Linked DNA regions of Nothobranchius furzeri. The protein of the gene in region 1 interacts with the protein of each later gene in a biochemical or structural test. Links are inferred from orthologs where the notes say so. Each region holds a gene or a part of one and is shown on either strand. Other genes may lie near its edges.

Region 1 (3,537 bases):
GACCTCCTGAGCGAGCAGCACATAGAGGGAAGTCAGCGATGGAGCAAAGTGAAGGATAGAGTAGAGACGGATCCACGGTACAAGGCTGTAGAGAGTTCTGCACTCAGAGAAGAACTTTTTAAGCAGTTCTTGGAAAAACAAGCCAAGGTAGGATCTGATAAAAGGGCGAAGCCCTCGTCCTGCAATTCCACTGGCATGTACGCGGCGCGTAACATCAGCGAAGAGTAATACTCGGCTAGCTCCGCCGTCGTAGTCGACGGGTGTGTTTCCAGTGACGTGTCCCAGAAGCGTAGTGTCGAGTTGCTTCGGATCCCTATATTAATATGCTACGCTTCCAGAACATGTCAAGCTCGGCAGCTCAGATTGGGCCGGACAGGAAGTTGCACACAAAAGCAGTGTGAAACTTCCAGGAACTTTCAAAATAATGTTGCTTTACTTGTACAAAAAAGTACATCATTACCTGTGACACCTCCAAGGCCAAAGTAAAAATAACGGGTTTGTGCTGCCATCTTTCTTCTGAACTGCCGAAATCACGCGTGAGCTCTGGTGATATAATGACCTGCGTGGAACGCATTTGCTGCCAGTGCGCATCTGAAATGCTTCCTGTAGGAGAGACACACTGCTGAGCTAGCAGGAAACGCACGTCTGTTACGTTAAGCGCCGCTAACGCGTCTGGTGGAAAGCCCGGGTTGATTTGACTAAAAAAAGCTGTTCTGTTACTCCTGGAACAATTTTGTAAAACCGTTTGTGTGTCCTGCTCTGCTACCAGTACCAAGTGCAAACTCAAAAAGTCGACATGTATTTTCTCACAGAATGTGGACATTGACAAGGAGCGAGAGCTGGAGCGGCAGGCTCGTATCGAAGCCAGCCTCCGGGAGAGGGAGCGGGAGGTCCAGAAGGCCAGATCGGAACAAACCAAAGAGATCGACCGAGAAAGGGAGCAGCACAAGAGGGAGGAGGCCATCCAGAATTTCAAAGCTCTCATGTCCGATATGGTGAGATGCTCCTCGGTTTCTGTTGTTGCCTGGTGGAGGATTCTGTAGTCGCAACAAAAAGACCCAATCCACGTTTCTGTTGTCTCCTCAGGTACGTTCTTCAGATGCAGCGTGGTCAGATACTCGCCGCAACCTGCGGAAGGACCACCGCTGGGAGTCTGCCTCCCTTCTGGAGAGAGAGGAGAAGGAGAAGCTGTTTAATGAACACGTGGAAGCACTGGCCAAGAAGAAGAAGGAGCAGTTCAGACAGCTGCTGGATGAGACCATCACGGTGAGAAGTAAAACAAAAACATGTAAAAACATTTCAAAAGGCTGAGTGACTCGTTTAGTCAGCTTCAGTTCCTCACACATGCATGAGCTTGGTTATAGTTTATAAGTGTGTGTGTGTGTGTGCGCGCGTTATAGATCACTTTGACAACTACATGGAAGGAAGTGAAGAAGGTCATCAAGGACGACCCACGATGTATTAAATTTTCCTCCAGTGACCGAGTAAGACTATTTTTGTAGGTCGTGAACTTTTCTAAGTAGAGTGAACCTTACCATGTAGCAACTCCTGTCATTTGGATGTGTTTGTTGTTTTTGTAGAAGAGGCAGCGAGAGTTTGAAGACTACATCAAGGACAAATACATCACCGCCAAGGCCGACTTCAGAACTCTACTAAAGGAGACTAAATTCATCACATACAGGTCTGTGCATCCATCAGGCGATTTGGAAAAGAAGTTGAACCCTTTTAAGATTGTGTTGTTGCCCCAAATGTATTATTCGAGCCGAGAAATGGTCCAAGTTGCATCCTGTTACTTTAAAACGTCTGTTTAAAAGACGAGAGGAAGTTTCCCTGTTACGGAGGTTGTTCTGATCACCTCTGACGTCTTGTTCGTCTTCCAGGTCAAGAAAGCTGATCCAGGAGTCAGAGCAGCATCTGAAAGATGTGGAGAAGATCCTTCAGAATGACAAACGCTATCTGGTTCTGGACTGTGTCCCAGAGGAACGCAGGAAGCTCATCATGTTCTACATTGAAGATTTGGACCGCCGTGGCCCGCCGCCTCCACCCACTGCCTCAGAGCCAACCCGACGCTCTACAAAGTGACCAACCTCAACAACTTCATGGCCAATGCCCCTCCCTGCCCTCCCTTTGGTCAGAGCATGATGTCTCCTCAGCACCCCCTGAACCCCAGCCTCCAGGCTGGCTTTACAGTGTTACTGCTGAGGGTTCACTTGGTTAGAGATGAACGGTTAAGGTCTCTGTCATGTCACCTTTTAGCCCTTCTTTTCAAGAAACGGCAGACAAGAGGTTTACCTGGTGGCCCATGACCTTTGACACATATTAGAGGGAGGCAAAGTGATGAGGCTGTTGTTTGAACAGTCACACAGATGTAAGATATCTGATGTAAATGAAGATGTGTGGGTGTGTATGGTGCACGCACGTTTAAATATGTGCATTTGTTAAAGGCGTCCTTAAAGCCTTACAGCTCCACTGTGCCAGTCACTGTTTCTGATGGCTCAGTGTGAATGTTAGTTTCTGCTCAGTGGTTTATTCCAGCGTCGCTGCAGTTTTTCTGTTAAATGAAATAAAAGCATCTTCCACTGTTTTTCAATACGGTTTATTGTGTTGTCATTTGGCACAGTGATACATTTACCAGTTTATGTAAACATTGCATTGACTGTAAAATGCACCACTAAATAATAAAATGCAAAAACGTACCGAGAGTATTCATACAAAGAAGCGTTTACTGTGCCTGCAGGGCAGGCAGATGTTTGAATCACGTGGTGTCGGCGGAAGTTATTGATCGTTCGTTTTAGGGCTGCGCTCATTTTATACAGCTTCACTAAATAGAAGGACGAGGCTTCACCTTAAAATGTGCGGTTTGATAAGTGAAACTATGCATTCTGTATATAATTATGTTCAAGGTAACTTGACAATGAGTAAAAAATACAATGGTCATACCTTGGTCTAAGTACAGACTCCGCCTACACGGCTCATCGCTAAGTGCCCCGTGGTATAAAAAGTGTAGACCCCACTGAAATTGTTCTGCATCATCAAACCCATCAGCTAACCTTTAGAGCTTCATCTTGTTAAATTCACTTTTTGTTTGTTATTGTCGTCAGTTGAAACCTATCTATGTGCAGTTTTTAGTTATTTTTAAGCGTATGGAGGACTGGAGCTAACGGGAACCTAACGTAGCTAACCTCTTTCAGTAAAGGTAGTTGTAGCCGCCATGGGCGGCTTCCAGCTCTTGGTCTTCGCAGTTGTTGCAACAATAGTTTGGTCGGCTGCTGGAGAACCAGAGGCATTCCATGTTGATGGAGCTCCGCCCTCAAAAATTGGTAAAATGAGTTGCACGTTTATTTAAAAACACATGAAAGCAAAGAAGCTAAATCAAGCTTATGCTAGCGAGCAAGATGCGGCGTTCAGGGTCTCGTTATTTCGCTTTGTTTAGCAGAAACTGCATTCCTGCTAGATGTCGGGGTGTTTCTATCTACTCCTTGGAAAGGACAAATTTTGTTGAGATTATTAGTTTTTTTAAATCAATTTGTGTTAGTT
Region 2 (5,151 bases), on another chromosome or scaffold:
GTTTTTATCAGATATGTAAATTAGAAAAGTGTTTTTCATAGAAATTATTTAAAACTCATCAAATCACATATCCCAATTTTCAATTAATCTAAAATTAGCAGCTAGGGTTGTCACGGTAACCGGTATAGCGGTAAACCCCGATAAAAATGTTGACAATAAAAATAACCGTCCAGTTTTTAAAAAAACTAAATTATCTCGGTGGGTTTACCGTGGCCGCGGTTTCGGCGTGGTGACCCTTACCAGCCACCGTCGCTTCAGCTGAAGTTCCCGCGGCGCGCACACGCACTTTTTAGTTTGCAACGGCACCAAAACTTTGAAGCTGAAATAATGGCCGAAGGAGGAGACGGCAGCGCCCAGGACATCCATCAGCCCTCAAAGAAGACTAAATCGGAAGTATGGGCATATTTTGGATTTCTGAAAAATGCTGAGGGACAGTTAATAGAAGACGGCTATCCCGTTTGCAGAACGTGCAGGAAACAAGTGTCTGCAAAAGGCAGCAACACTTCGAATCTAATGGCACATCTGCGTGACCATCACCCACGTCTCTACAGCCAGTGCAAGGTAAGTTAACATTAGCGTTTTAGCTTAAATGCATGACGTGAGGACTTTTGGTTGAGGGAGAATGCAACGAGTCACTATATACTGCAGCCGCAGCGTCCTCTGCCAGCATTTAAACCGTGTCACGGACACCCTGTTGCTGGATGAAGCATCTTATTTGTTGATGATGAAGAGAAATATACAATTAGTTCCTTGTCATTGATTTGTTTACTTATTCAATGCCATTTATACTTGAACATTTGGATTTGATTACACAGTGTAGTAGTTATTTTAGTAATTTGTTTAAAGTGGCTATTTATTTTAAATACATATTTTTTAAGGTTGACTTGTACAGTGCTCAAGTCAAGTGTGGACTGGAGTTTTAGATTTTCATTTTGATAATGAAGAAAACAAGTATATGAGAAAACAAGTGGTGTTTCTTTGATTTGTTTACATATTGTTTATGGTTTGAATGTTTGGATTTGTATAATTTAAACCTGCACTGACTACTGTAACATGTTCCAGAAAAAGAAGCTATTTGTTCCTTTACTTGTGAAAAGTTGCACTTTTGCTAAGACTTTGTGTTATTTTAGGTTTAATAAACACTGTTAAACCTTTTCAGAACTATTTCAGTTTGTGTAGAACAGGACTATCAATGCTTTCTGAACATATGCAACACCGTTTAAAAAATACAGCGATAATACCGAAAACCGTGATAATTTTGGTCACAATAACCGTGAGGTTAAATTTTCATACCGTGACAACCCTATTAGCAGCTGTTGCTATGTGTTTTGGGGAAAATAGACAAAAATAACCGTTCAAAACCCTGTATTAAACAGTAACTAAGCGATTTTTCAAGTAACATCCAAATTAAGAGTTAAGAGCAGAGTGAAAATAAAATACAGAGAAAACACTGCAGAAATACCACCTTGTTTGAGTTCTTGACCAGAATAATTAGAGACCTTTTCATCTTTAACTTAAAACACATTCATTTTCTGTGCCCCTGTGCATTTATTCAAGTGACAAACTAGTGTTATAATTGTTTTCTGTTGAGCAAAGAAAAAAAAATGTTTTTTTTTGTATAAATTAGTGAATTAAAACAAACTCCAGACATGTGCTGTACTTTAGAGATATGTAGTCATATCACTTTAAATACCGACTTTTGCACAAGCACCAGTAGCTATTTATATGCTTCATCAACACGTCTCATATCTGACTGTAGTGGTCACTGTGTCAGTTTAAATTTCATGACAGGATAAAGGTTTTACAGTTTGTTGTCGCCATCATAAACTGCTACAAACCTGCGCCGGTGTCTCCGCTCCTTACTGTCTCCACGGCGGTCCCTGCTGCGTCTGTCCCTGTCTCTGCTCCTCCTTTTCCTCTCTCTGCTACGACTGCGGGACGAGGACCGACGGTGATGACGGTTCTCCTTGTCCCTTTCAGCTGCAGGGATAAAGATCTTGTAAACCAACAGAAGTGCCTGACATTTATAGAATGCCCAGATATGAAAATACGAAGTCAAAGCTTGTATCTCCTAAAGGCAGGAAAGTTATTTTGTTTTGGGTGGAAATTGGGATAATTACAATAATATACAGCAACAAAATGGAAACTTACAATTACTCAGTGAACAACTAAACCCTAAGAGCACCTGGTATTGTCATTGTTGTGTTACATCTAAAATAACAAGTGCGTGGGCAGGTTGGACATATTAGGGTACAAAAGGTGTTGGGAAATATCTTAAAATACACATTTCATCTTTGCATTATAATCAATTACTGCCAAAATAATTGTACAAAAATACCCTCTTGTGTTTTTATAATAAACTAAATATAATTAATTTGCTAATCATCGTGACAACTCTAAACTACTAAAATCATTCTAGAAATGTTACTAATTATGGCTCAAACAACATAATTAAAAAACAATCGAAAACCTTACAATTAGTAAATATTACTTTTTATTATTAATAGTAGATGATAATGTCTACAATTTGATGTTATTACTAGCTAAATGTAAAAGTTACAACATTTAGCTCGTTGTCTGTACGACAACCAAGCGGCCCTGATTGCAAAGATCTTTTTAGGTCAAGTCGCTAAATTAGCGTTTGTTTAAGACGCAATTGACTTATTCTGAAATGAGATGTAATAACAAATCAGCAAACAGCACTTTAGTGTTCCCTGTCAACTACACCACTACCAAATGAATGTAAAGTACTCCTCGTAGGACGACGAGCACCATGTTTTAGTCAGGCCCAGCTTTACTTTTTAACTTTTACAATGAATTTATCAATTGTCAAACGTAGCTTGCCGCTTCCATAGACATTGACACTAGAGGGAAAAAATAAAAAATGTTAGTCTGAATTAGTTCGCACGTTAGATGTTTTAAGGCTACGTCCTAATAATGAGCCAACCCCTGTAAATAGACATACCCACGGACAGTAAATCCAATGGCGACTATTCAACTCCATTCGAGTGTTTTTCTTTATATTTTATATAAAAATGTTTTATTTACCTTGTTTATTTTCAGATAGCTGTCTTTCGAATTCGTCGTAGTCCGACATTTCTGGGTTGAAGCCTGTTACGCTTTCAGGGGATGCGTTGTTCAGTCGGCGGAAGCTAGCTTAAGCTAGCAACAAGGTGAACAACACTTTAAAATACCAATACTATTCGCCTACACCGCTTTAGTTAGTTCGCCTCTGGTAACACCTTTGGTGACAGTAAAATATCAAAAGTTAAAAAGGGGTTTACAAATTAGCAGTGTGGTATATTTTACAACGTAAAAGAGAAAAATCTTAAGAAACAAAAACGTGCTCGTGCTAGCCTGCTAACATTAGCTAAGACCAGAAGAAAAGGCCCGTTACGAGTGCCGAATTAATGAGTTTCCCCCAAGCAAGATGCAAATCCAAGAGGACCACTAGCCCACGAGGAGCACTTGCATAACTCTATAAACCAAAAATATACGCTATCAAGAAATCTAAGAGTCCATGAATCAACAAAGATTTCGGTACGCCCGCTTCTTTTGCTCCCTTAAGCAAGTAGCCCCTGACACCGGAAGTTGATGCTTGCTAAATTTCCGTTTAAAGAATAAGAGCTTCAACCCTGTCCGTCAAATCGATCACCATAAGACACTTTATTCATTCTCTCCAGATTATTGCGTCCTGGCAAAAAACTTATCAGCTGTTGCAAACTGGTAAACTGAAAGTTTACAAGTACTTTTGATTTAGTGACCACACTATTGTTTAAAATTTTAAATAGACACTCAAAAAATCACATTCAGCACATATTAATGTGTATTTATCAAGTCATAATAAGGCAGACAACAGCTTATGTGTCACAAGACCACATGTATATGCTGAAAATAATGACCTTTAGAAAAACGCGTTTTAAGAAAACAAGAATTTTATTGTACTATTTTACGTACTTTGAATGAATCATTTGCATTCTCACCTCTGTGAGGGGTAGTGTTGAATTTTACTGATAAAACTCACATTTTTGTAGGAACATAATTGCTTTAGTGATATTTCACTGGTGTTATTCTTGGGAGTGAAAACAGTTTCAGACAGTGAAAACAGTTACTGTCAATCTAATTTAGTTAATTCTCAAAATGTAAAACATGTGTACGTTCAATGATTTTCACAAGAAAATGTTCGCTTTGTGGCAAAAGACAGTCATAGTTTACAAAAGGTTCTATTTAGACACCTAGTCACATAATCCAAAACTGTTTAGAAGGAAGGCTTCAGTGGAACAAGTTATGCAGTCAGAAAAGCAAATTGCATCAATCACAATGTTACCTAGAATGTCATCACATTCTGTTTAAATTGATTTAAAAATGAAAATAAATTTTATTTTCAGATGTGCCATGCTCTCAAAAGTGCATCTGTACCACAAAATACTGCAAGTGATTTGTTTTAATAGTTTTTTAAAATGAAATTAATGAAACGGTAAGGGGAATTTGAATGTTTCTCTTATTACAAGAACATACAAATTCTGATTAAGGCAAGAAAAAACTGTAATGAAGATTTAATCTATTAACAGGGATTTTTTTAAATAAACATTAAGTTCACAACAGAAAAAATAAAGTAAAAAGCTTACAGGTGGATTTCAATACATCACACAATGTAATAGGAACATTAATATGTGAACTTTTAAAAGCTGTAAAAATCACAGTAGTGAGTGAACTGGCTTTAAACTGAGAAAAATGTTTATAAAAGGAATAATTAAAATTAAAATGTTTATGTTCACTCTACTAAATACACAGTTGAGCAACGTGGGTGAACCAGTTACTGGTAAAAGGAGCGTTTTCCACAATTATAGAAAAAAAAAACTTTCCTAGTTAATCATCTGAAATGACACCAAAAAGATATTGCTCTCAATTGTAAGACCCTCCTTTCTCCTTCCAGACACAAGTGGTACCCAATGTTTTATTTAACATTTGTCAGACAAACAAGAAAGTGTTGATAGATTATGTCAGAAGTCAAATGTCACTCATAAAGTAAAGCATCTCAGTTGTACTTTAGTCATTTGAGAGCTGCCTTCAGCAGAACCGTTTTCTCTTAACTCAGTGCCTAAACCTGTAGGAGATGGGAAGCAGAAGGTTATTCTTCTTTAATGCCTG

The links.
Region 2: the proteins of tcerg1b (region 1) and splicing factor U2AF 65 kDa subunit form a complex in vitro, tested with the Homo sapiens proteins (2 studies listed by BioGRID). The link is inferred for Nothobranchius furzeri from reciprocal best matches to the Homo sapiens genes TCERG1 and U2AF2.

Annotation. Positions count from the first base shown.
Region 1 is NC_091750.1:56,768,429-56,771,965, reverse strand, and holds the end of tcerg1b (transcription elongation regulator 1), read left to right. Parts: coding exon 1-147; intron 148-812; coding exon 813-995; intron 996-1,086; coding exon 1,087-1,266; intron 1,267-1,400; coding exon 1,401-1,484; intron 1,485-1,580; coding exon 1,581-1,681; intron 1,682-1,880; coding exon 1,881-2,082; 3' UTR 2,083-2,590; downstream 2,591-3,537. Other genes in the region: prenylcysteine oxidase-like, read left to right, coding at 3,212-3,320. UniProt on the Homo sapiens protein: Transcription factor that binds RNA polymerase II and inhibits the elongation of transcripts from target promoters. Regulates transcription elongation in a TATA box-dependent manner.
Region 2 is NC_091745.1:76,203,730-76,208,880, reverse strand, and holds the start of splicing factor U2AF 65 kDa subunit, read right to left. Parts: upstream 3,320-5,151; 5' UTR 3,098-3,319; coding exon 3,049-3,097; intron 1,981-3,048; coding exon 1,839-1,980; intron 1-1,838. Other genes in the region: ccdc106a (coiled-coil domain-containing protein 106a), read right to left, coding at 5,095-5,151. UniProt on the Homo sapiens protein: Plays a role in pre-mRNA splicing and 3'-end processing. By recruiting PRPF19 and the PRP19C/Prp19 complex/NTC/Nineteen complex to the RNA polymerase II C-terminal domain (CTD), and thereby pre-mRNA, may couple transcription to splicing.